2 linked regions of the Yarrowia lipolytica genome follow. The protein of the gene in region 1 purifies or fractionates together with the protein of each later gene. This does not show direct contact. Links are inferred from orthologs where the notes say so. Each region holds a gene or a part of one and is shown in the gene's direction. Other genes may lie near its edges. The genes, in order: YALI1_E01159g and YALI1_B11794g.

The links.
Region 2: the proteins of YALI1_E01159g (region 1) and YALI1_B11794g purify together in Saccharomyces cerevisiae (affinity purification with mass spectrometry; 8 studies listed by BioGRID, with this or other methods). This does not show direct contact. The link is inferred for Yarrowia lipolytica from reciprocal best matches to the Saccharomyces cerevisiae genes DIM1 and TSR1.

The regions. Positions count from the first base shown.
Region 1 is NC_090774.1:109,165-124,538, reverse strand, and holds YALI1_E01159g (uncharacterized protein), read left to right. Parts: upstream 1-8,549; coding exon 8,550-9,503; downstream 9,504-15,374. Other genes in the region: YALI1_E01235g (uncharacterized protein), read left to right, coding at 956-2,407; YALI1_E01213g (uncharacterized protein), read left to right, coding at 3,219-4,280; YALI1_E01193g (uncharacterized protein), read left to right, coding at 5,208-7,346; YALI1_E01163g (uncharacterized protein), read right to left, coding at 7,629-7,854, 8,134-8,225; YALI1_E01133g (uncharacterized protein), read right to left, coding at 9,811-11,178; YALI1_E01105g (beta-tubulin), read left to right, coding at 14,010-15,344. UniProt on the Saccharomyces cerevisiae protein: Specifically dimethylates two adjacent adenosines in the loop of a conserved hairpin near the 3'-end of 18S rRNA in the 40S particle.
Region 2 is NC_090771.1:1,165,691-1,182,225, forward strand, and holds YALI1_B11794g (uncharacterized protein), read left to right. Parts: upstream 1-13,808; coding exon 13,809-15,953; downstream 15,954-16,535. Other genes in the region: YALI1_B11648g (uncharacterized protein), read left to right, coding at 1-677; YALI1_B11681g (uncharacterized protein), read right to left, coding at 1,557-2,426; YALI1_B11715g (uncharacterized protein), read right to left, coding at 4,782-5,831; YALI1_B11719g (uncharacterized protein), read left to right, coding at 6,268-6,396, 6,441-6,557; YALI1_B11729g (uncharacterized protein), read right to left, coding at 7,108-7,279, 7,322-7,509; YALI1_B11759g (uncharacterized protein), read right to left, coding at 10,168-10,309, 10,355-11,541; YALI1_B11781g (uncharacterized protein), read left to right, coding at 12,508-12,987.

The DNA.
Region 1 (15,374 bases):
CACTTTGTGAATCGTGAAACATGAATCTTCAAGCCAAGAATGTTAGGCAGGGGAAGCTTTCTTTCAGACTTTTTGGAATTGGTCCTCTTTTGGACATTATTGACGATATTATTATTTTTTCCCCGTCCAATGTTGACCCTTGTAAGCCATTCCGGTTCTGGAGCGCATCTCGTCTGAAGGAGTCTTCGTGTGGCTATAACTACAAGCGTTGTATGGTGGATCCTATGACCGTCTATATAGGGCAACTTTTGCTCTTGTTCTTCCCCCTCCTTGAGGGACGTATGGCAATGGCTATGACAACTATCGTAGTGAGCCTCTATAACCCATTGAAGTACAAGTCCTCCACCTTGCTGCCAAACTCGCGAGAAAAAAAGTCCACCAACTCCGCCGGGAAATACTGGAGAACACCTCTAAGACGTGGGCTTCTGCACCTGTGTGGCTTGGGTCTGGGTTTTGCGAGCTCTGAGCCACAACCTAAGGACGGTGTGATTGGGAGATAAGTAGTCGTTGGTTTTCTAATCGCACGTGATATGCAAGCCACACTTATAACACAATGAAGACAGGCCGATGAACTGCATGTCATTGTACAGGTGCGGAGAGCAAGAAACTCTGGGGCGGAGGTGAAAGATGAGACAAAAAGCCTCAGGTGCAAGGTAGGGAGTTGATCAACGTCAAACACAAATAATCTAGGTTGTTAGGCAGCTAAACATGTATATAACTGGGCTGCCACCGAGTGTTACTTGTCATTAACGTCGCATTTTCGCCTACACAAAATTTGGGTTACTCGCCACTACACTGCTCAAATCTTTCAGCTGTGCAACAAGCTTTCAGGTCACACATAGACTCGCATAAGGACCCGGGTCATCTGTTATTCTCCACTGGTAAACCAATAGTCCTAGCTGATTTGGGTACAGAAGCTCACTTTCACATCTTTTCATCTTCTTCTACAACCATCATGAAATTCCGACGGACTAAAGTAGTCAAAGAAAACCCCTTCTCGGGACTGGTCTCGGACCAGGAAATCGCCCATGTTCCCGAATACCAACTAGAGTCCGGAGTCACTATCTACAATGTTCCTATCGCCTACAAGACGTGGGGAGTTCTGAATGAAGCTGGAAATAACGCCATGGTTATTTGCCACGCTCTTACCGGTTCCGCTGACGTCTCCGACTGGTGGGGCCCTCTTATTGGCCCTGGCCGAGCGTTCGATCCCACCCGATTCTTCATTGTGTGTCTCAACTCCCTCGGATCACCCTACGGTTCGGCTTCTCCTTGCACCGCTGACAACACCCCCGGAGCTGATAAGAACACATACTACGGCCCCGAGTTCCCACTGGTGACCGTTCGAGATGACGTTAACATCCACAGACTGGTGCTGGACGACCTAGGAATCAAGCAGATCGCCTGTTGCATTGGAGGATCTATGGGCGGCATGCTGACGCTGGAGTACGCCTTTTTCGGTAAGGACTACGTGCGGACCTTTGTGGCGCTCGCCACTTCGGCTCGACACTCAGCCTGGTGCATTTCCTGGGGAGAGGCCCAGCGGCAGTGCATTTATTCGGACCCCAAGTACGACGACGGGTACTACTCGTTTGAAGATCCGCCCTCCTCGGGCCTCGGAGCCGCTCGAATGGCTGCTCTGCTGACCTACCGATCCAGAGACTCGTTTGAAAACAAGTTTGGACGAGACACGCCCGACCCAACTCGACATAAGACAATTAACGGACCCCAACGACGAGGTCCTCAGACTGCTTCTGAGGAGCATTGGCTCATTCACAACGACGGTCACATGCGAGGAAAGAAGATGGCCGATGAAGAAGGTAGCTCCACTCCCACTGCCAACGGTGTTTCTCAGCCCTCTAGCGTGAGCACCAACGGTTCCATTCTCGACGATACATCTTCTGTCTCTTCTTCGTCTTCGTTTGTTCCTCTTGCTGTCAAGAAGAAGCCACCCACCCACTTCTCAGCCCAAAACTACCTCCGATACCAATCGGACAAGTTCACAAAGCGATTCGACGCCAACTGCTACATCGCAATCACCAGAAAGCTGGACACTCATGATGTGTCTCGAGAGAGAGCCGAATCTGTTGAGGCTGCTCTCCAGACTCTCGAGCAGAACGCTCTTATCATTGGTATTAAGTCTGACGGACTTTTCACATTCGCTGAGCAGGAACTCATTGCCGCAAACGTTAAGAACTCGCACCTGGTTACCATCGACTCGCCTGAGGGCCACGACGCCTTCCTGCTGGACTTTGCTCTCATTAACAAGGAGATTGTCGAGTTCCTGGCCGCCAACGTGCCCGACATTATCAACACCAACGGCGTCTCCTGGGAGGAGGCCAAGGTGGGCGAGCTGGGCAAGTCATCGCTGTTTGGTGAGGCCGAGGTCGAAATCACCCAGTGGTGATGTATTTATTTTCAACACTTATTTATTCAGTCCCCAACGTGACTTGCATGAGGCCAACTAATTGGTCTATAACACATAAAAAATACAGCATTATAGAACCTCTAAAACAGTGTAGATTAAAGCAGAGACGTAGTGGTGCGAGTAGTGGTACATCTAGTGACTTATTCTAGCTCGAATACCTGCCCCTTAGCCACTTGCACCGTACTCATACTTGTACCCCTGAGTCTCACAAGCAACACGAACTCGCACCAGATTTGTTCCTATTCCACAAGATTCTGGCACGTGAATCGGTGTATCACTGCTACGCGGTTTGATTTTTCCCCATGACAGTAGCTACAGTACCTAGAGTACATGTATTGTAGCCCAGTGCGCAGTTGTAAGAATCCTGCATCTCGCTTCCCTAAAGTATACATACAAGCCCTGCCAGATGCTCCATCTCCATGCACATATAACGGTGGTGCATAATCTGCAAAAAGTGAAACTGCGCAGATATCATGCCCTATAATGTGGCACATGGAGGGATCACGTGGAACGACTATCCCGTAATAGTTCAAGGGCTCTGCAAATTCAATAATATGTTGTTACAGTATGTCAAATTCAAACTCGGAAGATTAACCTCACGTCCCTGTCACTCTCTTCGCGTGATGTCCGTCAGGTGAAAATTAAGCTGTGGATAAGGAACTCAAAACCCATCACTGTGATAATTACTGTACATGATGTAAGGGACACAAAACCACATCCATCTTATATAACAAAAGCCCATTTTCTCTAATTTCACCTTCTTAAAGTACGCACAAATCCACGACATATCATGACTGTCAGAGACTGGGCCAACCGAGGCCAGACCTATGTCAATGCTCGAGCCCCAAACCTTCTGGGACGGTTCAGATCGACGGACGATGAAGACGAGAATAATCCTTCAACTGAGCTCGCTACTGATACCACTTCAGCCTATGGATCCACTGCTGCTTCCGTTGTCACAATGGCTAACTCCAAACCCGATGACGTGTCTCTCTACGCTACCTCATCGCACCACCATGAGTACTTCACAGGCTCCGCTTGGATCCATCCAGTCTACACCAAGGAGCAGATGGACGCTCTCGAGGTCAATCATCGAAAGACTGAGACGTTTTCCGACCGGGTCGCCCTGAGAGCTATTCTCCTCATGAGAATCATTTTCGACTTATGCACCGGCTACAAGCACCCAAAAGAAGGGGAAGCCCATCTACCAAAGTTCCGTATGACCACCAGACAGTGGCTAGACAGATTCCTGTTTCTAGAGTCCATTGCTGGAGTTCCCGGAATGGTGGCCGGGATGATCAGACACCTTCACTCGCTACGTGCCTTGAGACGTGATAGAGCCTGGATCGAGTCTCTGGTTGAGGAAGCTTACAATGAGAGAATGCATCTTCTGACATTCTTGAAGCTACAGAAGCCTAGTGTACAGATGCGCACTGGGCTCCTGATCGGTCAGATCATCTTCTACAACCTCTTCTTCATATCTTACTTGATCTCCCCCGCAACCTGTCATCGGTTCGTGGGCTACCTTGAGGAAGAGGCTGTCATCACCTACACCAGGTGTCTGGAAGACATTGACGCCGGACGTCTGCCGGAGCTCGCATCGATGGAAGTTCCTGACATCGCCAGAACCTACTGGCATATGGAGGACGACTGTACCATGCGTGATTTAATCCAATATGTGCGGGCCGACGAAGCTAAGCATTGTGAAGTGAATCACACTTTCGGAAATCTGCACCAGACCTCCGATCGAAACCCGTTTGCGCTCGTCATTGACAACGGGCGACCGCAACCTTCTAAGGACTTGACTACATTCCGAAGTGTCGGATGGAGACGAGATGAAATTGCTAACTAAAAAAGGAGATATGGTATTGTGACGTACAAGTAATGATATTTTTCGGTGATAACATAGTTGACATATGTACACCCTCTCTGAGTGCGTTCTTGGGATTAGGGTGCACACATGCCAACTGTAGACAGGCCATGTTTTTTCCTGGAGAGAAGCCCCTACATAGAAGGAGGTTCGTGTATTTACAATATACGTGAACCGCCCAGCGCGTTTGGGGCTGTACTTTCTTAGGCAGGGTGAAGGGGATGGGGCATATGGCAGAATATTATTGTCAACCGGAACATTCTTGACTTCTTTGTGGGCGATTTTTAGACTCAACTTTAAGTGATACAGCCTAAGGTCCGTTGCCGGGGAGACTGTAAAGGCAGCCGCACTGTACAGCATGAGCAGTCAGCTATACATAGTGTGTGATACCCAAGGTAAATAGATGGTGATATGTGGGTCTGTTTCATGTGTTTGAGGTTGGGATTCAATATTATTATTCATGTACTTGACACTGACCTGCATACACAATTGCTATGTTTTGTGTTCGCTATGTTTACATATTCCCTTCCAAGGTTTCGTATGTTTAGATTGTCCCAGAGGCAGAATGCAATGAAGCATGAAACATGCACTCCAAGTGCTGGCGTACATAACGTTACCAGAGAGCTGGTTTACATACCAACTGATATCTCAACCACATATCTATCAGACGTGTCATAACACAGGGTGAACATAAGAGGGCAGCACGGCATTTCAGGCCACTAGGACATTGCAACACCACTCGGACAGCGCTCCACCACACAGACACTACACACACACGTTAAACAAACACTCGACACTCCACTCGACACTTGACACTCGACAAGTAATAGCAATAGCAAGCGTACTTCAGCCATAGTACGCTATCGACAGCCAGTTTCATGGTAATTGCACGACACAAACACTTATAACATGCTATCCACGTGTGCTTCCAATCTCGAGAAGCAGAGAGACGATTTTGTTCGACTGAATGGATGGGAAACTTGGGATATCGACTATGTTAGACCATCATCGATTGGCTTGCATGAGTTCGTCAATCAGCGCAAGGCCACGCTGGAACCAGTTCTTAAGAATAGCTCCTCTGAAGGAGAGTGGTTTTTGGAACATACAGACCTGTTACCAAGGCTTGTGGCATTGGTCAAAGACACACCAAGGCTGGTTGTATTAGCAGCAGGGAACGAGGATGATATCGACAACAATGATGGACACAATGCGGAGGATACAGATCACGACAAAGAAAGGTTGGAGGGAATCGCGACACTGTGTCACCAGATGGAAGTGGCTATTGAGTACACTGAGCTGTGTGAACAAGTGATTGGACATATCGACGCGGAAATTAGTCAATGCATGAGCACGGTCTTTGAGATCAAGGAGAAACGGCTCGAGTCTAGTTTCACAGGGCAGATTTCTGCATCCCAACTCGACCATGTGGCCAAAGAAGTATACCCTTGGTTGACTCGTCAGGACAAAAGTATCAAGGAGACCTTCTGTCAACTCAACGATACCAAGATTAAGCCGCTGACTGTGTCTCTCGGTTTCATTCCCGAGAGGGTGGCCCAGTTCTCTTCCAGATGTGAGCCCATTTTCCCGACATTTTCATCTCTGGTGAACATGAACTGGACCAATCTGGAACAGCAGTGGCACAATCTTAAGGGGGAGTTTGCATTGGTGAATGAGGAGTTGTCGACCAAGAAATGGTCTTCGATTCTGCAGTTGGCCATCGACCAGCTCGGTGAAGATCTCGACGCGGCATTACTGACTGTTCTCCAGCGAGTCTGCAACGACAAGAACATGTTTGTGGAGGAAGTTAAGGTTCTATCGACTAAGAGACTGTCTACCAACTCGTCAATCTTCTCCGAGTGCTCTGAAACCACAGAGATATCGGATCATGGAGCCATCTCGCCACGGCTGTCATTCGCACCCCAGTTTCCCGTCAATAGAAGACTGCATATGCGAGTTGTGTCTCTGGACAGATTCTCACCCAAGCCTGTGATCAAACGACACTCAACCAGCGAGAATCACGTACTTCGAGATATCGACAGCAGCAAATTGAACCAGCAAATTGAAAGCGACAAACAGCTTCAGGAGCGAAACGACTATGCAAACATATCCTCTTCTGATTTATCCAACTCTTCTTCTTCGTCAGTGATTGTGTCTACACCTGACTCAGACGCACTGGAGGCATCGGAGCCAGTGGTACCTCTCAAAGACATTCAGTTGCCTCCATCCACCAGTTCACACAAGAAGTCTCCGTTGCATGATATGAGTGTCATCATGGAGACGTTGGAGTCTATTGAGTCTCCTACAGCTTCTCTAGGCGAAGGGACCACTTTGAGGGACTCTAAGGACTCAAAGTGTGGCTGCAACAGCGGACCCATTCCCAATGCTGCCATTTTCAACAAGTTTAGAAGTCTCAAGACAACTAAATCTTTCATTCCCGTTACTAACTCTCCAAACAGACTGCTCCACAGATACCCCCAACTGGGCAGCAAACCTTCCACTCCCGATTCAGCATCCATCTGCTCGCTATCATCTTGTTCCGATACGTCTTTTGGATCATCTATCGGTTCTACTTCTACAGTGAAGCTAGGTGAGACTCCTTCTCTTCAGCCTAACGGTTCAAGCAGACAGTCTCTCATTCCCCTACCTTCTCCAAACCGGCCTGCCAGCCGATCGTCATCTAGACTAGGCTCCTACGCGACCCCCTTGGCTACTCCTACTCGAAAGCCTCGTCTGAGTTACTCAGGAACTGGAGCTGCCGGTCTTTCAGGTATGCGGTCGGTTAGCGACACCCCCGTCCTGACCGACGCCTCTAGGCGACGTAGCGAGTCCAGCACAAGCAGCAACAGTCGCCGAAGCTCCTTTCTCCCTTCACCTGTGAAGCGTCAATCTCTGATGCCTCCCAGTACTCCTCGAGCAGTGTCAAGAGAAGGATACAACTCGTACCACTCTGGACGAGTGTCTCGGGAAGGCATTAGAGGTGCTTCTTCTCGTGATGGTATGTCTCTTGCCAACGCTGGCGTGCGTATCGCCAAACCAGTGGTCCGGTAGGAATTCTCAACCATAGATCGCGTTGACCGTGGCCTATGGTGGGGACGTAGCTTAAGGCTTTGATTCTAAGTGTGACAGGAGGTCGTCCCCTTGACTACAAATCACACAAAGCCTTTGACCAGGAGGATTGTTGATGAGGTACAGGTACAGTACCGAGGGATATGGATCTTTTTTCAATTCTACAGTTTTCAAAGCGCTCTGGCAGTGCTACGTATACACACCATTTCTATAGCATCGAAAAATATATATTATATACAGAATACAGACGAATATGTGGGTGGATTAGTTGTTAGTCCTGCTGTTCTTGAGCCAGTCTTCATTTCCAAAGACCTTGGTGAAGATCTTTTCTTCGTCCTTCTTCTTAATCTCCTCAGGCGTGAACCATCGGATGCCCTCCTCTGTCTGTTCACCAATCTGAACGCGCTTGTCCTCTCCCATGTATAGACGCTTGTAGAGAATGACTGACGAGAGGACCACAAAAGGGAGCGACAGCAGGATCATCTTGAATCTGTGTTAGAAGTCGAATAATGAGAGCAATGTCAAAACACAGTTCACCCAAGCTTAGCACAAGTGTACCGCAGTGTATCACAAGACTGTGGTAGCGTCTATATACCAAGATCCTATGGCGCGACTGTGAGGCAAAAACCAGTAAACAAAAAAGCTTCAAGCTCTAGTGTTGGTTCTCTAGAGCGGTACGTTCATCGTATCTGTGTCGCTGTGGCAAGGTCTGTGTACACTCCAGATCATCAATACTGCTCTCTTATTGCACCTCCCTCCTTCAACTCACCCTCGAGCCTTGTCGGCAGGAACCAGCATGTCGACTGGCAGAGGTCGTGGTTTGCTCTTCAGATTTGTGGGTCGGCTGATTCTCTTGGCCATTGTATTGTGTTGATGTGATGCTTATTCTACCATGTCACAATCTTGCATATCTCTACATTCTGATAGGTTAAGAGTTAGTTGGAGTTACATTGTGAACTTGATGTTTGGGGAAGGGCTGATTAAAAGTATGCCATTCTAACAAAATCGGGTGTTTGCAAAGGAAACGCTCAAAACAATCTTCTTTGATTATTAAGGCACTTCTGGGGGCGATTCTTTGTGCATGCTCAGTGCCATGCCAGTTAGCTTTTTCTGCATGCATGAATCGAAAATAAATTTTGGATCTTTTTTTTCAGTTCACAAACCACTATACAACAGCATAAGAAAATGGCCAAGGCACCAGCAAAGAAGTTCTCCGGAGGCGCCCAGAGGGAGTCTGCAGGCGGCGAGCAGCGAAAGACTGCCGTCTTCAAAATGAACACTGATCTCGGTCAGCATATTCTTAAAAACCCTCTGGTGGCCCAGGGTATTGTCGACAAGTCCGACATTAAGCCCAGTGATACCGTTCTGGAGGTCGGTCCCGGTACTGGTAACCTGACTGTTCGAATTCTCGAGAAGGCTCGAAAGGTGATTGCTGTGGAGATGGATCCTCGAATGGCTGCCGAGCTGACCAAGCGAGTGCAGGGCAAGCCTGAGCAGAAGAAACTGGAAATCATGCTGGGAGACTGTATTAAGACAGAGCTTCCTTACTTTGACGTTTGCATTTCCAACACACCTTACCAGATTTCTTCTCCCCTGGTTTTCAAGCTGCTGAACCAGCCTCGACCCCCGCGAGTGTCAGTGCTGATGTTCCAGCACGAGTTTGCCATGCGTCTTCTGGCTCGACCCGGTGATTCTCTGTACTGCCGACTGTCTGTCAATGTGCAGATGTGGGCCAAGGTTTCTCACGTCATGAAGGTCGGCCGAGGTAACTTTCGACCTCCTCCCAATGTTGAGTCTTCGGTCGTCAAGATTGAGGTCAAGAACCCCCGGCCTCCTATCGACTTCAACGAGTGGGATGGTCTTCTGCGAGTCTGTTTCGTTCGAAAGAACAAGACTATCAACGCCGGCTTCAAGACCAGCGCTGTTCTGGCAGTTCTCGAGAAGAACTACCAGACCTGGCTCTCCACCCAGGGCGAGATCATTCCTGAGGGATCCAACCTCTCTGACGTTGTCAAGCAGAAGATCAACAAGATTCTCACCGACACCGGCATCGGAGAAATGCGATCCGCAAAGTGTGACCAGACCGAGTTTCTCACTCTGCTGAATGAGTTCCACAAAGCTGGCATCTACTTTGCCTAAAAGGTACGATATTACGTTACTGTACACACAAAAAAGGTTAGAAGAAAGGAGAATCTTACGACATAGCCGACCTCCGGCGCTATTTATTGAATAAACGGTTTTCACTGTACCGCTGAACTAATGTTATTGTACTTGTACTGTACTCAGGGTAGCGTACATTACAGTATGTTAGTTGGGGTGTATGATGATATCACATAATTACAAATTGACCTACACTCATCACTTCCAATGAACTATTCATGCAATTAAATATCTATGTTTTTTATTTTATTCGTCATATACCTGTAACACATGTATGACGACAGTGTTAGGCCCAGTGTCCAACCAGGGACATGAGCAGCATTCCGAGAGTGAGCCCGACAAGGCCAACGCAGACTCGAAGAGGAGGAGCATCTTGGAGGTCACCAAACAGCCAGTCAAAGCCTAACATCTCTACAACACCAGCGTACACCAAAACTCCGCAACAGAGACCGTCGATACTACCGAGAGCCCACAGAGTGGTAGGGTTCTCTTCAAAGTGGTCAAGCACGCCAAGACCAATGGCCATGCCGATGGGGGTGATGATGGAGAACCACAAGCACATGAGGCACTTGGAAATGAGGCGAGACTCCTTCAGGCCAGCAATACGCGACCCTAGACCAACACCCTCGAACATTTGGTGGAACAGAATGGCAATAAACAAGGTGATGAAGGTGTCCTCCTCAGCAAGAGAGACGGTGACTCCAACCAGAACAGAGTGGAAAATGATACCTGCCTCCATAATCCAGACGGAAAACTTATCAGTGGGGTCAATGAGACCGTGGGAGTGGCATCCGCCGGCGATAGGAGGAGGGGGAGCAGTTGTCTGAGTAGTACTTCTTCTGACAGAAGAGGAAGAGAGACGAGAGGGAGCCTTTTCAATAACATCTTCGACAATCTCTTGAACGGGTTCTCCCCCATTGTCAGAGTCCTCAGTGTCTCCTCCAGTGTTGTCAATAATATGGCCGTGGTCGTGATCATGTCCGCACTTGGTCTCCTCGCAGTCTTGGTTCTCGTTTCGTCGAGCCTCTAGGGTGTTTGCTCTCCATCTCAAAAGACGGGCTCCGAGGTATTCAATGAGGAAGGAGATGAAGAGGCCAGCCAGCACAAAGGCCAGGGGAGTAGGCTTGTACTCAACCTCTCCGATGCAGGGGTTGTTGAACTCTTCGGTAGCCTCAGCTCCTAGATGAACGAATGCAGTGGACAGAACGACACCTGTGCCAAACTGTTTGATGAAGGTCATAGGGAGAGTTTCGAGATTGATTCTCCAGATGGATTCAGCCAGCACTGGAGGGAACACGCCCAGAGCAGAAGTACCGAGCACAGCAAACAGAGCACCTACTCTGAGACCAACATTGGTGTTTCTCTCCTTCTTGGAACAATCAACTTCTTCGATGATTGATTCCTGGGGGTCGGAATTGTCCACCTTGCAGATTTCTTCTCCTGTATCTTCGTTGGTTCTGCATATCAGACGTCGTCTGGAAATGTGAACCACGTGTTTGGGCTTGTAATTTCCCTCGGGCACTGAAATAGCCGAATCAAGTGCACTAGGATTTGTTCCTGCGTAGAAGTCTGACAAATCTACTGCTGTGGTATCTGCTGACGTCGCTGCTGTCGTGTGGATCAGCAATAATGGGAGAAATGAAACCAGTCTCATTGTGGAGATGGCTGTGTCGTAGAAAAAGAAGAGAATGAAGCGAAAGGCTCTGGGCTCTTATAAAAGTTCAAAGAACGTGTAATGTTGAAACTGCCGCAACTGCTGATTTGGTTGAATACTAGTATTATGGTCCCTTTTTTGCTGCTTTAGTCTATGCTTGGTCTCATCAGGTATCAGCCGCAGTCTTTATCTTAGTGCTTAATTTTATTGGCCCCGGGCAATAATGGTGACGAAGGTCGCTGTTGAAGTTATAGAAGCCCATGCTAATGTGCCAGATCATCTCTTATATAGAAAGGGACCAGGATCTGGCATGAGATATGGCCTTGTCCACTTAACGTATTTGATTGGGAAAAACACAGTACCGTCGGCTTGGCATACGCACATGATGTCGGTTGTCTGCATGAGTGCTCTGTTTTAGGCAGATGAGACCCTTGTTGAGTCACACTTTTTCGTGCAACAAGAGCCCATGGAGTTCCCCCGAATGTAATACATCTATTTTATGCCCGTTTAAATGCATATAAATGTATTAGCACCAGGTACCACCTACAGCCTGTGGACGTATACATGTATCGTATGTAGGTGGACGGCGGCACTTAGCGCAAATGTAGGTACGAATACTACCGTACATATATTGCCGTCCAATACGTGCCTCTTACATACTCACCGCTACTTGTAGTTTGTCCCATGTTCAATGCGGTTCAAATTTGTATGTGCTCGTACAAGGGCATGTAGTGGCACGAAAAATGTACTTTTTTTTTCAACTTGTTGCTACGTCTACTCCTTCCGGTCAAACCCGCCACAGCCCGGTCTATTCCGAAAAAGAGGGGAGCGAATTTTGTCAGGCCCACGCCAAGAGAAGATTTGGTGAATTTGCTCGGTCCTGCAGCGCAAAGTCAACCCCCACGACAACTGCATGCCAGAGATTGATGGAAATATTCGCCGTTTTCTCGCGAGGTAATATTGTCGGTCTTTGTCTCGTTGCGACTGTTCATTATTTGTCCCCAAGCCGCTTGTAAGCAACCTCTCAAATCATTATCGCGACTACTACAAGTACGAGTAGACAACGGATACTGCCAAGTCGTGCTGCGCCCGCTCTTTGCTGTATTAGTGTCCACTCGTACATACAATATCGTGTGCTAAGAGCAGGAAAATATGAGGGAGCGGATGTGTAGCTCCAGTTATGTCAAGACTGACGATGAGGGGACATGTATACCTGTAAGCGACTCTCAAGTGATAAGTTTCAATGACTATAGACATATAACCATCCGTCATACTTAATTTATTTAGCAGTATCTCACAAGTACAGTACGAGTACATACGAGTCCGCACAAGTCCGTTCTCAATGTCTCTCTACAAAGTGCAACATCACTCAAACCTTGAACCATCTCTTCAATCGTAATCCCTAGTCATAAGCCCAGGACCACCAAACGGGCAAGATGTGCGGGGTTAAGACTACTCGTACAGTATACCTGTGGGCCGTTTATAATACAGTAGTCGTATCCCACGACATTGCTTTATGACGCTGTGTCCTTGCACAGTATCTGAACACGTATGACAAAACATGAGCTGTCAAATTCACTGTCTACATCGTGTTTTGTTTCTCTCTGTTGTGTCGATACCAAGTGATACATCCAAATTCGCTGATCATCGCAAACTACTGTGACATATTCTGACTAAGAGCAGGGACACAAGATACAAACCAGTTTCTCTCGGTATTCACAGGTCTCTCTAATCGTCATCATACTGTAGCTTTTACCATAGCTACGAGTATATAGCTATTACTGTAATTCCTCATCCTCTTATCATTACAGCCACCAGAGTACAGTCAGGGACTAGAAACCATATTTGGCACCACGCTCGTATTTATGTGCAACACGTGACCAGTTCCATTATGTAGCCCTAGATTCATCTTGAAAGATATTTCAGGACCGGAATTTAACACGGCTATGTCCTCTTCAGTTACAGCCCTTTACTTGCAACCTCAAAACCATCACACATCATCCATCCCCGCTGTCCAAACCAGGACCACCCCCTTTACACGTTGCCTCTAAACAGTGATCGATGCATGGTCCCAATAAGGAAGTGTATAAGGGCTAGCTTCCCTAAGAGAACCAACACTTCCGGGTAACACGCGTCTCCCAGACAACCGGCAGCGTAAACAACACTAATCTTATTTACGCGTTTTCAAGATTAGGGGCACAAGCAGAAAAACTCCTGTCCATCACAACCACTCCACGACACATACAGATACCCAGTGAGTACCAGGCGAGACGAGAATGGTGTTGCTAGACGCACAAGCGGGCGATTTTTCCGATTGGCGGAAGCTGTTGTGCGGTTTTTGAGCGTCACGCCCCCCCTTGACATGGACCGTTGGCCCGTGATTCACAACCTAGAGACGAGATAGCGACAGAGGTGTTGTCTGCTGCTGGCTGAGAGCCTTGTTGCTTGTGTTGATAGGCGAGTCTACCGAATGTCACAGATATGTTGATGGTGGGGAATAATACGACCCCTATTTATGGATGATGCGAATTGGTCAATGTGGTGGCATTCAGGAGAGACAACGACACAGACACAGACACGTATATCGACGATTGTGTATACAGAAGACCTGCGGTGAGGTCCGACTTCATTGGATGAAGTTTTAAACCCATAACACGTCCACAATCACGAGATAACACGTCCTTCTGGCGGTCTACAAACAAATTCAGGAGATATTATTCTATGCTTACAGCACACCACAGCACGCACAGGACAGCACCTCCCAACATATTATCGTGCCACCACAACGTACCACAGCGCAAACACGACCCAGCTACTTTTTGCTAACACAGATGCGAGAAATTGTCCATCTATCCATCGGCCAGTGCGGTAACCAGATCGGTTCTGCTTTCTGGCAGACCATCTCCGGCGAGCACGGCATCGGAGCCGACGGAGTCTACGGCGGCGAGGAGGATATTCAGCGAGAGCGACTCAACGTCTACTACAACGAGGCTGCTGCCAACAAGTACGTTCCCCGAGCCGTTCTTGTTGATCTTGAGCCCGGCACCATGGACGCTGTCAAGGGCGGTCCTTACGGGGAGCTTTTCCGACCTGATAACTTTGTCTTTGGCCAGTCTTCCGCTGGTAACAACTGGGCCAAGGGTCACTACACTGAGGGCGCTGAGCTTGTCGACCAGGTTCTCGATGTTGTGCGACGTGAGGCCGAGAACTGTGACTCGCTCCAGGGTTTCCAGATCACGCACTCTCTGGGTGGAGGTACCGGTTCTGGTATGGGTACCCTGATGATCGCCAAGATCCGAGAGGAGTTCCCCGAGCGAATGATGGCCACTTTCTCCGTTGTCCCCTCGCCCAAGGTGTCCGACACAGTTGTCGAGCCCTACAACGCCACCCTGTCGGTCCACCAGCTGGTCGAGCACTCCGACGAGACCTTCTGTATCGATAACGAGGCCCTTTACGACATTTGCATGCGAACCCTGCAGCTGCCACACCCCGTCTACGGCGACCTCAACCACCTGGTCTCCTCTGTCATGTCTGGTGTCACCACTTGTCTCCGATACCCCGGCCAGCTCAACTCCGATCTGCGAAAGCTCGCCGTCAACCTGGTGCCCTTCCCCCGACTCCATTTCTTCATGGTCGGCTACGCTCCTCTCACATCTCTCAAGTCCGCTAACTTCCGATCTCTGTCCGTCCCCGAGCTCACCCAGCAGATGTTTGATTCTCGAAACATGATGGCTGCTTCGGACCCCAAGCACGGCCGATACCTGACCGCCGCCGCCTTCTTCCGAGGAAAGGTCTCCGTCAAGGAGGTTGAGGACCAGATGCTGTCTGTCCAGACCCGAAACTCCAACTACTTTGTCGAGTGGATCCCTCACAATGTGCAGACTGCTGTGTGTTCCCAGCCACCCAAGGGTCTGCCCATGTCCGGAACCTTTGTTGGAAACTCCACCTCTATCCAGGAGCTGTTCAAGCGAGTCGGTGACCAGTTTTCAGCCATGTTCCGACGAAAGGCCTTCTTGCACTGGTACACCAGCGAGGGTATGGACGAGATGGAATTCAGCGAGGCTGAGTCTAACATGAACGATCTTGTCTGCGAATACCAGCAGTACCAGGAGGCTCAGGTCGACGACGAAGAGGGCGAGTTCTACGACGAGCAGGACATGATGTAAGGAGAGTTTAGTTTGTTATCTAATTAATTA
Region 2 (16,535 bases), on another chromosome or scaffold:
ACGAGGAGAGAGAAGAGGAGATGGAAGAGGTTGAAAGTGGTGATGAAGACGAGGAGATGGAGGACGGCGAAACCGAGGAGGATGAGGAGGAAGGAGACGAGCATGATGAAGATGAGGAGGAGGAAGACTCTGAAATCTGTGACATGCAGCTGCAGAATGATATCAAGGCCGGAAAGGAAATCTTCAACACGTATGGAGACCTGCCAAACTCCATGTTGCTGGCCCGGTACGGTTTTGCCATCTGGAACAACTCGCAGGAAGTCATTTCTCTGTGGAAAGAAGCCATGGCCTACGCCAAGAAGGCTGGACGAATGGACCGGCTCAAGATGCTGCGGAAACGGGACCCCGAGCTGTCGGAAAAGGTGTTTGTGGCCTACTCGGACGGCGATGTGAACAAAATTGAGTGGGGACCTTGTGTCAACGCCATGCTCACTCTGCTGCTCATGACCGACCAGGAGTACAAGAAGAAGGTGTGTTCTCGACGTCTGGACAAGGATATCAACAAGGCCAAGAAGCTGTTGTTAAATGCTCGACTCAAAAGGTACGAGGATGGAGGTATGACTTCGGAGGAGTACAAAAAGGTGCTGCCCAAGGTAGAGGGAACCAAGAAGGCTGCCATTGTCATTCGAGGTACTGAGAAGAAGGTCATTGAGACCGCTCTCAAGACGCTGAAGTAGTTTGGATGGGTATTATAGGGGATGCATTGGTCTGAATGATACAGACGAGTTGATAATAATGAAAAGTGCATGGTACAGTAAACAGTAGATGAAAAGGCAAATCGATACTTGTACCAGAACAAGTCTGGAAAGTAATAGAAGGGCAACACAGGTATAAAACATGCAAGAATCGTATCAAAGGTGCCAGAACGATACCTTTCTAGCCTGGTTACTCCGGTCTTTTGTCAGCACCTTTCTAAACCAGTAGTCCCTGTCAAAATCGGAACTTCATCCAATCCGATATAGTGTAGGGGCTATCACATCACGCTCTCAAGTTGAGAACCGTGGAGACCGGGGTTCGATTCCCCGTATCGGAGTGTATAGTGTCGTCTAGACGTATTCTTTTTGCTGTGTTGCTAACCACATATCTTCAAAAGTTGTGATGATTTATGTAATCGGAACTTTGAGAACTGTTCTTAATTTTCGGATATGGAGGTTTGAGAAGATGGCAGCAGTTGTCAGAGGTATGTTCTTGTTATCGTGCGACTTTCAGAGTCGTTATAAGAGTATTCGTGACTCTGTGGTGTAAGTAATGAGGGTAGTGCTAGAAGAGGACATAGTACATAGGCAAAGTCGGTGAAGACTTGTAATATTGACTTGAAATTTGATATTTATACCAATCGACCCTCTTCAGATCTATTTGTACTTTTCAGAATTGAGATCTGATCATTATTGGTCATGTTAGGATGCCCTACTCCAAGCCAACAGGCAAAGATGAATCCACTAGAGACTATTAAATCTACAAACATTCGGCTAATCATGACATAAATATATTGTTAAATGGTGCTAAACAGTGTGAGTGAGTTAATGAGAGAACTTTCAATGGTTAGAGGTGAGTCTTTAGTTGCGGAACAGCGACAGTCGTCGTCCTAACTTCTTCAAGTTACCCTGGCTCTGTCTGGTCTTGACTCTCGAGAACTGGCCGTATCCGTCCTCGTCAAAGGCGTCGTATCGGTCCGTGACGCCCTCCGTGTTATATCTTCCCCGGTCTTCTTCTCGCGAGTGGTATGTGGTCAGGTTGTCTGTGTCGTCGGCCAAAGGATTGTCACCGTAGCTGTGGTGATGGGACACTGGGGGGGGAGGAGGAGCCTTCTTGGTGGCCAAAAAGTCCAGGTAGTTGGGGTCGAAGAGCTCCTGTTGGCTCATGTGTTCCGAGTGGCTGGTTTCGGGCTTTTCTTCAGGTAGCGAGTCGGCCCAGGGGTTATTGGAGTTTCTGGACGCGTTGGTGCCCGATCTGTGGCGGGTGGAAGGCGTGAAGTTGAAGGAGCCGGTGCTATGGGATCTGGTTTTGGGGGGGTCGTAAGCGGGAGCGCTATTATTGATGGAGTAGACGGAGGAACTTCTGGAGTTGTCGTAGTGAGACGAGCTGTAGGTATCTGCTCTCTTCATGGCCGGCTTGGAAGCCTTGGAAGCCTTGGAAGCGGTTCGTCCGTTGCCTTCCCGTGCTCGATCAAAGCCTGGCTCGTATTCCAGAAAGTACGAGGTGGAAGGCGGCTTAAGAGGTGATCTCTTGGGACTGGAGGGGGACTTGGAGGGGGACTTGGGTGTAGTGGTTCGGTCGTGGTAGCCATAGTCGTCATCCAGAGAGGTGGCCGAGTGGTTGTATTCGTCGTTATGGAGCTTGACGGCGGAGGGGCGTCGCTTGATGTACTTGGAGGTGACCTTTCGGTACTCCAGCTGGTTCTGGATCTTGCCCAGGATTGAGGTCATAGTGAGTGAGTGAGTGGGGGGGGGGCAATGGTGAACGAAGTTGACCTACTTGTAGTATGAACGACAGACGCTGAGGTTCGAAAAAGAAGACAACTGCAGACGCTGCGCTTTAGTACTAGTCGCCCTCAAGGCTAACCCGCTATACCTCGGAGGCGAAGACGGCCCATTACAGTTAGGGTGCGAGACAGGATGCAGATGCTGTATTTTTATTTTTTTTCTTGGGAAGCTCAGAGTGAGGTATATTGAGTGGATATCAGAGACATGGATGGCCGAAAGAAGGACAGAATCCGGTGAAATCAACTGGTGGAATGAAGTTCTTGCTGATGAGGTGGTTACCCCGCTCCTCGCAACCCCACAGGGGCTACGACCAACCTCTGTTGGCCAGGGTAAACTTTTCCGAGAAATGATACTAAGCTCTGCCAAGATTAGTCTCGGAGCCAAACCGAGGAGGCCCAGAGGAGACCAGCACTTTACGGGCCTTGGCCATGCACCAAAAAGTGTGCCAGTGTGCGGTACAGAGGCACAGCTCACGCTCACATACCAGCCAAGACCGGGAGCTATACGCGACGGGCCTTTTCGGACTATTTGACGGGCTTCATAGCACCGATTCCGACTCTGTAGATGCATGAGCGGTGAATGGAGCTTCGACATTCACTTATAGTACATTCCAAGTAGCCCCTTTGAGTCTCTTGCTACGCTACAGTCAGTCTTCCTACAGGCTCCCCACCGAGCCTCATCTGTGACGAAATCTGGCCGACATCAACAGCGAGAGTTTGGAGAGTTTGTCGCTGCCAACCTTTAACGGCTCGGAAATAATACCCGGAATCCGGGCAAAGAATCTCGAAAGTCGGAAATGAAAGCCGTTGGTGGATCACATGATTGCCGAAAGACGGTATACACGATGTACACTGACGGCCTTGTACAGTGACTAACGGTCTCCAGGAGTAATACCGTAGCACCACAGCTACTGCACCCCCACACTAACACTGAGCTTCACTCGGTGGATGGAATCGCGTGGCACTCAGCCGTGGTCTTACTCCCGTTCTCAAGCTCATTCTCAACACTGTAAATACATTACACCCCGACTTGTACACAGCCTTGTAGCCCGACCAAAACCAGCCCGAAGATTAATTAGGTTGTGGGGTGATCATGAGATCAGAACATGAGGGTGTTTACGAGTGATGTAGAGGTTGTCGATGGTGTCTGATGGTTGATGGTTGATGGTTATCTGGGTGTCCTGTCTGATAATTTCAACTGCAATGCCCTTCTGGGCCTACGCCTCCAAAACACGGTTAAAACACCCTTTTCGGTCCTAGAAACGCGGTATTTGGATATGGTACTCGTAGACGCCATATCTACCTCCCTGCAAACCCCCAACTCCCCATCTCTATTACTCGTGGTATTTCAGGTCATCGTTTAAATATAGAACCGCAAGGCACAGTGAACCTTCAGTCGAAAGTATAGTATAGAAACTGCCAGACTGATAATTACAAATACAAGTGCAGAAACACAAGACAGGACGCCCATTCCAAGACCTGGCGCTTGAGATGGTCCAAACCATGTCTTCATGGTATCGTTTTGATCGCTGCGAGCTCCAGAGTACTATTATATATTCGAACCCCCATAAAATCCACACCATCTTCAACCATGCCCACTGGTAAAAACCATCCACACACTACAAATGCTATTTCTATTCCTGCTCCCCATTCTCCAATCTCAACGTTACACCTCTCTGAGTTATTTACGTCACTTGCGATCAGGCACTACAAGTAGTACATACACTTGTAGCTGTGAGTAGATGAGACTGTGATTCCCTTTCTATAAAGCAAGCCGGCGGTTGCTTGCATTTAGTTGTATTTCACACCATGTCTGTAGTCTGACAGAAGACTATGAAAAGATAACCGCTCAGGCGGTTGTCGCCGGAACCAGCGAACAACAATCAATCAAATCTATTCGCTGTATATATGCAAAGAATATGTATAACCATGTTTGCGCGCCAAATGTGCCACTGGTCGACCGTTTCTAGAATAGAGTGCGTAAGACAGCCAAGGTGGAGGTGGTGCTGGAACAGGTACAAATAAAGAAGAATGCCAAGTCGTCATTAGAAGAAATGTGAATACGATGATGCGAGCAAGCGACAGGGGGCGTCTGACTCAGATGGAGAGGCTGCATTAGAGTGAGAACATCATCTCGTTTATCTCTCTTCCGTGCGTGTCACTCTATCTGGCCCACCCAAAAGCTCAAATGCTATGATTGGCGGCGCGTAGGTTCGTGTTAGGCTGGGTATATGTACGCCGGAACCGTGCCTTTCCTCTTAAGAAGGTCGTTTTTTCCTCCTTTTCCTTCTTCCTACTTTTACGCCTGCGATCTGTTGGCCTCCTTGACGGGGAGCGCAGATTCGGCGCCAGAGTTGTCGCTCTTTCGGTCGAGCTCCAGCTTGGCGTACCAGGCTCCTCCCAGCAGCGTCACAAGAATGCCCATCATGTTGAGCGGGGTGACGGTGAGGTTGAAGAAAAAGATGGCCAGCACAATGGTGAGGATCTGCTTCACGTTGGCGGCCACGGTCATGGTCAGCGCGCCCGTCTTCTTGTTGGTGGTGAAGGAGACAATGTTCAGGCCAAACGCAATGATGCCGTTGAGCAGCAGATGCAGCATCAGCTTCTGGCTGTACTCAAACTCAATCTCCGTGTAGTCGATGCCTCCGAGGAACGACAGCGGGCCCGAGGTGGCAGAGGCAGTGGCACCAACCACGTCCTCGGGGCTCGAGAGCCGAAGACCCAGCACGTCCAGCTCGCCGGCCAGGTAGGCGTAGACGAGGGTCTGGACAAATGCAAGAGGTGACATACGGTAGAGCAGCTCGAGAGGGGAGAGTCTGAACCGGCCGGTCTGGATACGGTTAGTGACCACGGTCTTGACGGCCGCGAGAACGGCGCCCAGAATGGTGAGAATGAAGCCCATGGCGGTGAAGTAGTAATCTCCTGCAGTGGCGAATCCGACGCCGGCACACACGAGAACCAGAGACAGGTAGGTGAGTACCGTGTACGAGTGTCGCAGGAAGACCACGTTGATGAGCATGGCGAAGAAGGGGGTGGTTGCCCGGACCACCTGGTGGAAGGGCACGGTGACCATCTGCAGCGACACGTTGGAGATGGCAATGTTGATGGTGTAGAGGATGGAGAAGAGAATGAGGGTGGTGTTCTCCTGATCGGATAGCCGGGTCAGTTTAAAGACGCCTCTCCAGTGTAAGAGCGCGCAACCCAGAGTGCCACACAGGGTGTGGATGCCGGTGAGGGTGTACGGGAAGGGGAAGGATCCGAGGACCGCCTTGTTGAAGAGCGTGAGGGCCAGGTTGAAGAAAAAGTAGAGCCCCAGCCAGGTGCATTGTGTTCGCAGTGTTTCTGTCATGGTTGGGTGTCCTTGTGTGGTGATGGGTTATGTCGTCAGGATTGTCGTCACGGTTGTCGTCACGGTTGTCGTCAGGGGTGTCCGCAATGTTTCTGGTGTTGTGTCGTGTAAGATGACGTGTTGGACTGGTGTGATATCCTTCAGGTTAACGAATGACTTGTTGACTGGTGATGCTGTCCTTGTATGATACTTGCACTTGGTTGCGTGACTGATAAGACAAGATTGGTGCTAGTGATAAGCCGGGGAAGTTGGAGGTGGGTGTGATGTCGGTGGAGCGCTGCCAGACGGGAGATGTGCTAGGAGCGAGAAGCGTGAGGGAGAGAGAAAGAGGGAGGGCGAAAGTGGTTGTGTTTGGTGATGTTGAGAAAAGGGCACTTGGCGCTGCAGCTGCCATGCTTTCTTGTGGTGAAACAGTCGGAGGGATAGTTTAGGCTATATGCTGGTGGAGCTTAATGCCATCACGCGAGAAATGAAAATTGAAGGAGGTTTTGGGCAGGTGAGTTGGGCAAGTTTTGGGCAGGTTTTGGGCAGGTTTTGGGCAGGTTTTGGGCAGGTTTTGGCGGTGGTGATTCGAGCTGTTTCAAACCTGCGAAAATAGATCGATTGTAGATATTTGTCTGCCCCATTGCCTGTCTAGATGTCCAACTGTCCAACTGCTGCACGGCAGATTTTGCACACTCACAAGAAACAAAAAAAAAAAAAAAAAACCAGACTTGTGGTGCGTGAATGCATTTGAGGTGACAACAAGGGAGCGGTAGAAAGACGTCAAAAATAGCCCAGACAAGGCACCAAAAGGGGGGTGGAGACTTTTATCTGCGGCTACAATAGTACGCGCGCATCCAGGGGCTACGCGTTGGTGGTGGTCGATATGGGTGTCACAACCAGATGGACAATGTGTATCACCAATATCAAAAATGGCAAGCTATATTTACTCCATTTCCCCATTTGGCTCCACCCGGCTGAGTCGCTCCGAACTCTAGTTGCCCCAGATGTGCGGTTTTACGTAGGCTTTTTGGGTCACCACTTTTGCCGGCTCTGCAATAGGCAAGCTCAAAATAATAGTCTCTTTAGGTTGAGGGTGGAGAGGGATGACAGCGGTCGAAAACTGCAGCGGGTAGCGCGTAGCGGGGGGCTTGGGTTGGAAGGGGGCAACTTGCACTCAACTGGCGGGGGCCTGGCGAGTATCTCCGTCTGTCTAAATCTGCGTCCGGTCCTCTCCATCGGGCCCCGGTCCTCCCCATCGGGCCCCGGTCCTCCCTAACGGCCAACTCTACGGTCAATAAACACGGGGCAATGTTAACGTTGCAAGCAAGGGATGGTGTAGAGCTACTGCGGCCGTTAGTGGGCTACTTGGACTAGTTTGGTTACTAACTGGGTGAGCCCGGTCCCCGATAATACGCCAACGACAACGGTGACGACGACAACGACGATAACGAAGACTCTCTTCCCTCTCCGCCTCTCAGATACACTCCAACGACGATCAGCAGCACGTTTGTCGTGTGCTGCCAAGCCTCCAGACGCTAGAAAGAGTGGAGATTATTGGATGTTTTTGATAAGCCGACTTTGGTGGTTTGGTGGTTTGGCGGTTTGGAGGTTTGGCGGTTTGGAGGTTTGGCGGTTTGGGGCGTGGATTTTGGGGAAATGCCAAAGATGCGACCGCAGAAGCCTGCCTGGGCATGTCGTACCTAGAATCGTATTCCCGTGCCTGAAAGATGTGTTGTATTGTAGTGTCGTGTCGTAGTGTCTATTGTGCAAATGTTTGTCTAGCATTCCACACAAGGTTCGGATATCCATTGTCCCATGCACAGCATTATGTTATAAAAAAAGCACTAATTTTATTTTTTTCCAACGTTCACTGGAAGTGACCAGACAGGCAAGGAGATAGTGGAAAAGTGACAAAAGACAGTGACAGCCAAGTACAGCAAAGCACAGCAAAGTGACATCATGAGCAACTGCGAGGCGACATGGAGCAACTGTTGGCAACGCACTGTTGGCAACGCACTGTTGGCAACGCATTGTGGCTACGCATTGTGGCTACGCATTGTTGGCAACTGTGGCCACTGTTGGGAGCAACTGTAGGCAACGCAACCTCTACACCAACTGCTTGTACAATACCAGTACGCCAAGATCAATCGCCATGGGCTGACTCCGGCCTTGCCCACCGTGGTGCAGAAGGCATCGACATTGGTCCGCTGTCATACGTCATTGCGCGGCTGTTCCGAACGGCCTGCCCTGAGAGCGATACAGTAGTACGACTGCCGTCAAATAGCCGAGACCTGGCACCTGGTTAGCCCAGCTCAGTCCGCACACCGCACACTCCATTTACGCCGCTTCCTCTGGCCACAAGTAACTTATCCAAAATAACTCATCCAAAATAACTCTCCTTGTTGCTCTCCCTCCCCTCCCTGTCTCATTCGCTTGGGTTTCCATGCTCTCGTATAAAGCGTATTCTGTCTCTCTCGGTGGGTCTAATTTAGGAGACTTCACCAACCGAGTCCACTGACTAAGATGCCACCGAGCCACAATGCCACCGAGCCACCAAGCCCCAATGCCAGAATGCCACCCGAGGTACAGATGCGTTGCAGACACGTTTCTTCGTCTCCGCCAATGTGTGCGGAATGTGCCGTACATATCTCCTCTGCGCCATTGTCATCATTGTTAGAATTGTCATCATTGTTAGACCGGCAGAATTGTACCTACAATATGGTAGGGTTCACGGCAATTACTGCAGTGACCACCCCAAGGTTGCCATTGTGGAGCAGGTGGAGCCGGCAGGGTAAGCTCCAGCGTCGCTTTCAGAGCCGATCTAGCCCATTTTGAACATGTTACGGCCGTCCAAGACCCACAAGGAGCTGTCCAAGCCACTCAAACTCCCTCTCCCATCCACCCAACTTGTACTCGTACGGTGCTTCTCCCACTTTACTTCTCACTCAACATTCCCAAAAGAAAGAAAAAAAAAAATTTGGAATGCATAGCATACTCCGTCGGAAAGTCTGATGTCGGCTCCCGCCCCCTTTCCGGCCGGTCAGCGAGTCGGCCTCCGAGATACAAAAGAATGACAACTGACAGATCACGTGTCTTGTCGCGGTTCTGGTTTGTCGCGGTTCTGGTTTGTCGCGGTTCTGGTTTGTCCTGATCTGGTCTTGTCGCAGAAGCAATAGCTGCTATACTACACCCTTCTTTTAACGTCATCCCTCGTATCTCATCCAACACTACCTCCTCCAACGTTACACTGCCGAGTCTTGCACCTACTCTCAAGGACCCACCGCGTATCACCACCGCCGATCAGGGGGCAGCCGATAAGACGTTGGGGACACCGTCTGCCGGCATAGCCCAGGCCGTATCGATGAGGTGGATCTGAGACGGGGGTATTCAATGTTTCGTATGTCGATGCAGTACGAGACCGATATTGGTAAACCGTGGATGGTGTATTCGTACAGTACCGGCCATCTTTCAAGTACAGTACATACTTGTACTGTGCTCGTGCCCATACAGCACTTCATCGCACTGTATCGTACAGTATGAATGTCGGATCGGAACCCGATCCACCTCATCGCCCCGAACTGGAATAATTAAACCCTCGCACCCCCGCTGAGACAGAAAAAGAAATTCGTGCTGCCGAAATTGGTCCACCATACGAGGTTGCTACAACACAATAAGCGAGCCAGTGAGCGCTATTTCGGGAGAACCGCGGGGTTGCACCAGGTCATGTGATCTCATCTTCCATGATTCGGTACCGTCACGTGAGTTTTGGCGAAACTCAACTCCCCAATATGGCGTCTATATGGACATGCTAAATGGAGGAGAGATAGGAAGAATACCACATATGGTGCATTACTTGTAGTAGGTAAAGAAAGCTCAAGTAAAGACGGACGCCACCATACAGCACACGGGGGTCAAGAGGCGTCACATACCCCAACAATAAGACACCAGCCGGTCCAAGACCTCCCACGTTCCCCTTGTTAAATCTTTAACAAAATCAAACTATAATGTCAAGTAAATTACAAGATATGCACCACGTCACCCCATTCGATCTTTGAAGATTCCACAGATTCCACTGACATCAGAACACAAGCAGTAGGTCTATTTTCAATGAGATTGGCAATAACACAATTATTGTACCGTACCGTCGCCACTAGTCCCGAGTGGCCACCTTCCATGAGATACCCCATTGTCTTCAAAGAGATCACCTTCAGATGTATCGTCACAACATCACAGGTAACTGAAACAACGCTCAACCGCCTCACACACATACAAATACCCGGCGGTCGCTCCCATATCGGACTCATTACGCCACTACGTCCCACTGTTCGTTCTGTCATCAATAAAAATGCTATTACAATGCTATAAGGTCATCAAGACGTCTATGCCAATCCCTCGCAAACTGTGCGAACCGTTGCAAACGGCTGCAACCAACACCATGAAAGACTCGTACATACTCTGTATGTATCCTATGCTCCAGCTCGAACTCGTAAGCACTCGCTTCGCGCGTACTCTGCGGCTCGTTCGCTTACTGCAGCAACTCGTCTCGGTAATGCTTCTGGAAGTTGTTTCGTCGCAACTCCCATGCATCCTTCCTGTTGGCAACCCGCTTCTCCTCCTTCCAAATCTTCTTCTGCTCTCTGAAAGCAGCAGGGTCTCTGACATCGGGCCGTCGAATGTCCACAGCATTGACAGTGGCTTGGCCGTCTCGAGGCTCGGGCTTGAGAGACTGTTTGTAGTACCGGGCCATGGATCTGTGTCCGATTCGTGCACCGGAGGGCAGAGCCAGCTGGGTGCCGGTCTCGTCGGTATAGAGCATTCCGTCGTCGTACTCGTCGTCGGAGTTGATCTCCTCATCGTCATCCTCCCAGTCCTCATCGTCGTTGGCCACGGCATCAGAAACAGGCAACTTCTTATCATAGGACGAGGTGAAGTCGTAAAAATCTCCCAGCTCGAGCTTCTCGTCCTCAGACTCATAGGGAATTCGCACGTGGCCCTTCATGAGCATGTGCTGTCTCACAGACTCGAGCGATCGGCCCACAAAAGAGCACGACAGACACTCAAAGCCGAGACCGACCTTCTGGCCCAGGTAGGACATGAGCCCGGCGAGATCGGTAAGATACTTCTGCTCGGGAATGTACAGAGAGTACTTTTTGGTCATGTGCTCAACGTTGGCTTCCACGGAGTCGTTATGCACGCCGCACACCACACAGTCCGTGTTGGGGATGGCTCGTCGCAGTGCCAGCTTGTTGATGGTATCTGTGTCGAGATGCTTGACGCTCTGCAGGGTCTCTTCATCGAGATTAAGGTGCTTGAGCTTTGTGTTGAGGTCTTCAGATAGGGAAGAAGACACATCCGAAGACTCGTCTCCGTTTGTGGCAGTCTCGTGGATGGCATCGCCCTCAGTGGGAGTATCAACGCCCGAGCCGTAGCCCAGAGAAAACTCAGACGCCTGGGACTCGGTGGGGGATGAGGGTCGCACGACTCGTCGGGCCATCCGCTCCTGGTACTTCATCTCCTTCTTTGTGATCTGCTTCTGTCGTCGCTCGGGAACAGCCTCGGACTGCTGGAGCACCTTGGACGCAAACACGTTGGCAGCGATGGGCAGCAGACCGGCCACCTTTCGCTTGAGATTGTATCTGTGCCAGTCCGTCTTCATGTGTTCACGCTGCGTTTCCGAGTTGGGAAACTGCTGAACACACGTGTTGCATGTGTATGTTGTTGACATGGTCGTTGAAGTATTTCTGTCTTGTCGTAAAAAAATTGTGTTGGTGGAACACTGCTAAGTCATGAGAAGATAGCCAAGTCTATATAAGAGATACCATGCAAAAAATTCAGAGTATCTAAACCTAGTTGCAAACCTTATGCAAGTATGATCGCAAGTGTGATTCTGGAGCAACCAAGATATGAGGGGGATAGCGCGGACTTGTCAACACAAGAGTGATACCAGAGTGACCGTCTCGCCTCTCCGAGTCGATCGGTGGTTTCAGATTGTTCTTAGCTTCCCCACACACCGAAATGTACCTGAGCCACTCTCTCCGCCTTGATCTACGTCTCACCCATCTTCTAGATGATTCCTAACAGCATAGAAACTGCAAGTGTGACTAGAAAAGAGCATCGGAGACGGCTGAAGTCCATGGTGAGTTCCGAATGGACTCTATGGGATCGATAGAGTTGTTGATACTAGTATTTCAAACGGAGTGTGGCTGAAACATCCCATATGCACGGCTGGAAGGTGGGATACAGTGGAGGGAGGGAGGGGGAGCGAGGTGTTGGCTATCTGAGCGTTTACTCCTGCTACTGTCCACTCTGAAGATCTACAGCCAGATGCTACAGTATAAAGGCTGTATGTAGTTTCGCTGTCTGCTTTTTGTATGCGCAAATACCGATATGTACTTGTAGAAAACATTCTAGCCCGAATCCAAGTCCGTGATATCAACGGAAATCAAAAGATTTCAAGCGATAATGACCCTTTGACCTATCAGGCAACCGCCAAATCATTTACAGTGTCTACCGGTATTCTGTTCTACAGTTTCTATCCTCTCCATTGCTTCTCTATCCACTACTTGTAGATCCCTCCACCACTACTCGGACGAACAGAGCTTCCAGATGGAACAAGAAGGAAACACGGACTTTTTACCAAGAATGAAGCACTCTATTCAAGAAAGAAACACTCCGTTTAAAGGTCTTGGAGATGCTAAAGCTCCTATGTACGGAGTATGTACTTGTACGCTTCTTCACGCCAGTCTTAAGTCGAGATAATACTTGTACCAGTCCGCCCAGCCAAAATCCCGCCTCAAGCACCGGCTACAAATGTGCAAGTAGTCTGACAACTGCCCGGTATGATGTCCGTCTCTCCATCATCTCCGTCACCGTCAAACCCCCAGCACTTCCCCAGTGGTCCTGCCGCTTCGAAAGAAGTACTAGTAATGTACGTACAGCAGGAGATCCCGTGATGCAGACTAGGATACGAATACGAGTATGTACATCTCTTGTACTGGGCTTGTATATACACAGAAAGGTACAAGTACAAGTAGCATCAAGTTGCCACATGAAGCACCTTTCTACAGTCGGTCTACAGTCTACAGTCATCGTCGGCTACGCTCAGGATTCGCTCAGTGACATAGATCTACTACGCTCGTCGACTAGTCGAAGAATAATTCATTTTTATTGATAAATACTCATGAGAGACTTATCGGAACTTGGTGAAACCAATGTCAGCAGCCTTCTCTCGGAAGGACTGTCGGCAGAGGTTGAGGCCGTACTTTCGGATAACAGCGTTCTGGTTGTTGGTGATTCGACACTTTCGACCGCCCTTACCGTAGTGTCGGGGGTGGGAGAACCAAATGTTTTCGTGAGCCATCTTAGTTAGTAAATGTGTGTGTTTGAATCTGGTGTTTTACGATGAAGCCAGCGGATCGGAAATCAACCACCTTCATATAGAGAAGGAACCGGCAGATTTTTGCAGTCAGAGTTCCGGTGGCAAATGGTGGCAAATGCGGGACTCAGACATTGGTGGGGGACACACACACGAATCATGTCATGATGCTGTTCACGACCAACGACAAAATTCACACAATCCCACCAGCCATGCCCGTGTTGACCTCGTCGTTCCGGCAGCAAATTCCCGAACGCTCGTTCATCGTCGTTTCGTCGGTTTTCACCTCGCGTTCCCTCAATCCCTATCGCTTTCAGTACCCACCTTGAATATCTGTCGTGGTTTTGGTGTCAAAGAGAAGTTTCAGAAAATCGATAAATGCTCCCAGCAGGACTGCAAACTCTGCGTTGGGAAATTCACGTGACTAGGGTTTAAAAAAGTAGGGTTAATTGAGAAGTTGTGGGTTCGATTCCCAACGGTGGCCATTGTCGTCAGTTCGATTCCAGGCACCGTCAAAACTGCCATAAAATAAACTTCTAAAGCTTAAAAATATTCGTGCATGTGCAGCCAAAATTTCGACCCTCTATTCTTCACATACGACGACATTGGATAACGAAATGCACTCACATCGATCCAGTAAAAAGTCGCAGAAGCCATTCAAGTCCAAGCATGCGTCCAAGGGCTCGATCAAGGCGTTGAACAAGGGCAAGATCGAAAAGGCGTCTGCCGGAAACAAGGCAGTCAAGACTATGGGCAAATGGGACCGGCGGAATCAGAAGGACCAGATTCGGGCTGCCAAAATGGTCGAACTGGCAACGGACCGTAAGCTGTTTGACGGCAAGAGCGGTGCCCCCAAGATTGTCACTGTTGTGGGCATGAGCGAGGACGTTGACGTGAATGGGCTGGTGTGCAAGATGATGGGTCTTGAATCTCTGCAGTCCAAAATCAGCACACACGAAGTCGAGCGATTCAAGCAGAAGTTCACGGTGATCACCCCGTCGTTGGACAACTTTCTGGAGGTTTTGGACGCTGCCCGAATCGCCGATTTTGTCATCCTGGCCTTCTCTCCTGTCGCTGCCTTTAACGACTCGGAGTACATTCTCAAGTGTGTTGCTGAGCAGGGAGTGAGTAATGTCATCTCTGTAGTCACAGAGACCGGAATGCTCACCGACAAGAAGCGCGTCGAGCGAATCGACGAGATCAAGACCTTTTCCGACTACTTTTTCCCCCAGGACAAGATTTTCGATATTGAGAACGCCACCGACTGTGCCAACCTGGTGCGAAACATTGCGCAGAAATTCCCCAAGGGTGTCAACTGGCGTGATCAGCGTGCTTTTGTGCTGGCTGATAACGTCCAGGAGGTTGACGGCCAGGTGTGCGTTTCAGGCGTTGTTCGAGGCAAGGGTTTCAATCTTCTGAGAACTGTTCATCTTCCCGGATACGGCGATTTCAAGATCGCCAAAGCTGAGGTGTTGAAGCATGGACAGGCCGAGTTGGTCATTCCCGGTGAGGACGTTTTGGCCAAGAATGACGGTGACGATGAAGATATGGACATGGAGGAGGATGACGTCATGGAAGAAGAAGAAGAAATCCAAGACCAGCAACTGGGCGTAAAAGTCGACGGGCATCATTACTTCCCTGACACGGCGCGAGAAGCCATGCAGGAAAAGTACGCCAAGCGCCGAGTCCCCAAGGGCACGTCTGAGCAGCAGGCCAAGTGGCTCATTGACGAGACTCTCATCAACTCTGACGACGAGTTTGAGGATGAGCAGATGGAGGAAGATGAAGTTGATATGGATGCTGAAGATGGCGCTCACGTTGAATTTGACATGGACGAGGAAACACGTCAGTTGGAGGAATACAAGAGCCTCCGAGAAGAGCTCGATTTCCCTGATGAAGTCGAACTCAAGCCTGGCGAGTCAGCCAAGGAGAGATTCGCAAAGTACCGAGGAATGAAGTCGCTTCGAAACTGGGATGCCTCTCAGGATGACTACCCCGAGGAGTACAAGAATTGCGTCACCTTCAACTACAACGCCATGAAGAACCGGGTTCTCAAGGACTCCACAGACCTGCAGCCAGGACAATACGTCAAGCTTTACATTGAGGCTCCCGTCAGCATTGTGTCCGAGGCCCAGGAACACGCAGACTCGCCGTTTGTTGTCTACGGACTGCACAAGTACGAGTCGGACCAGGCCGTGTGTCATGTGACTATGAACCCCTGTTTTGACCAGGAAGAGACAGCTCCCATCAAGTCTAAGGACGAGCTCATTTTGCAGCTTGGACCTCGACGACTGGTTGTAAACCCTCTCTACGGAACCGAGTCTACCATTGCCAAGTTTGACCGGTTCTTGACCCGGCCCTGTATGGCCACATACATTGGACCTGCCACCTTTGGCAATGTTCCTGCCCTGTGGTTCCGAAAGTCGGAAAACGGCGCGATGGAGCTAGTTGGAACCGGCTCGTTCGATTCCACCGACCCCCGCAAGATGCTCATCAAACGGGCCGTGCTCACCGGCCATCCCTTCAAGATCCACAAGAAGCTCGTCACCATCAGATACATGTTTTTCAACCCCGAAGACATCAACTGGTTCAAGGCCGTGCCGCTCTTTACCAAGATGGGCCGATCGGGCTTTATCAAAATGTCTCTAGGTACTCATGGATACATGAAGGCTACTTTCGACCAGCATCTTAACGGAATGGACACCGTCGCTATGGCTCTATACAAGAGAGTGTGGCCAAAGGTTGCCAGAGAGTTGGAGTAGACAATTATTAAATGCATTAACAGTTCAATTAGCAGTCCAGTTGCTCGTAGAGAGTTGAACGGCCACTACTGCACACTCAGCACTGTAGCATTCAGGTACATGCCCTGGTAGAGGGATAGAGATAGGATGAAGGGTAGTTTTCATGGGGTGATTTATGGAGTTTTTCAAGATGAGCACAACCATCTTTACACCCAGTCAGTACTCTGAAAGCTGGATTGTTCAAGTACAATCACCCAAGTAAAAAACCATGGTTGGGTTTTCAGAAAATGTCAAAAAAATGTCACATTTGGCCATGTTCTCGACTCAAGAAAGGGATTCAGGACACAAAAAGTAATCTAGTACTGATTTTATACCCACCAGTGTTCTTCTCATGTCTCTGGCATGCCTGGAAGTTGTGGATTGAGCCCCAGTACAACTTCTGGCATAACTAATTTCCAACTAAATTTAATGAAGGTTGATTGCAAATTACCAGTAGTAAAAAAAAAACAAACCAAAAAACAAACAAACAACAGTATGAATACCCAATACACATTCGAGAGAAACAGCGCTCCACTCACGCCTGTCGGAGCAATTGTTTTTCAC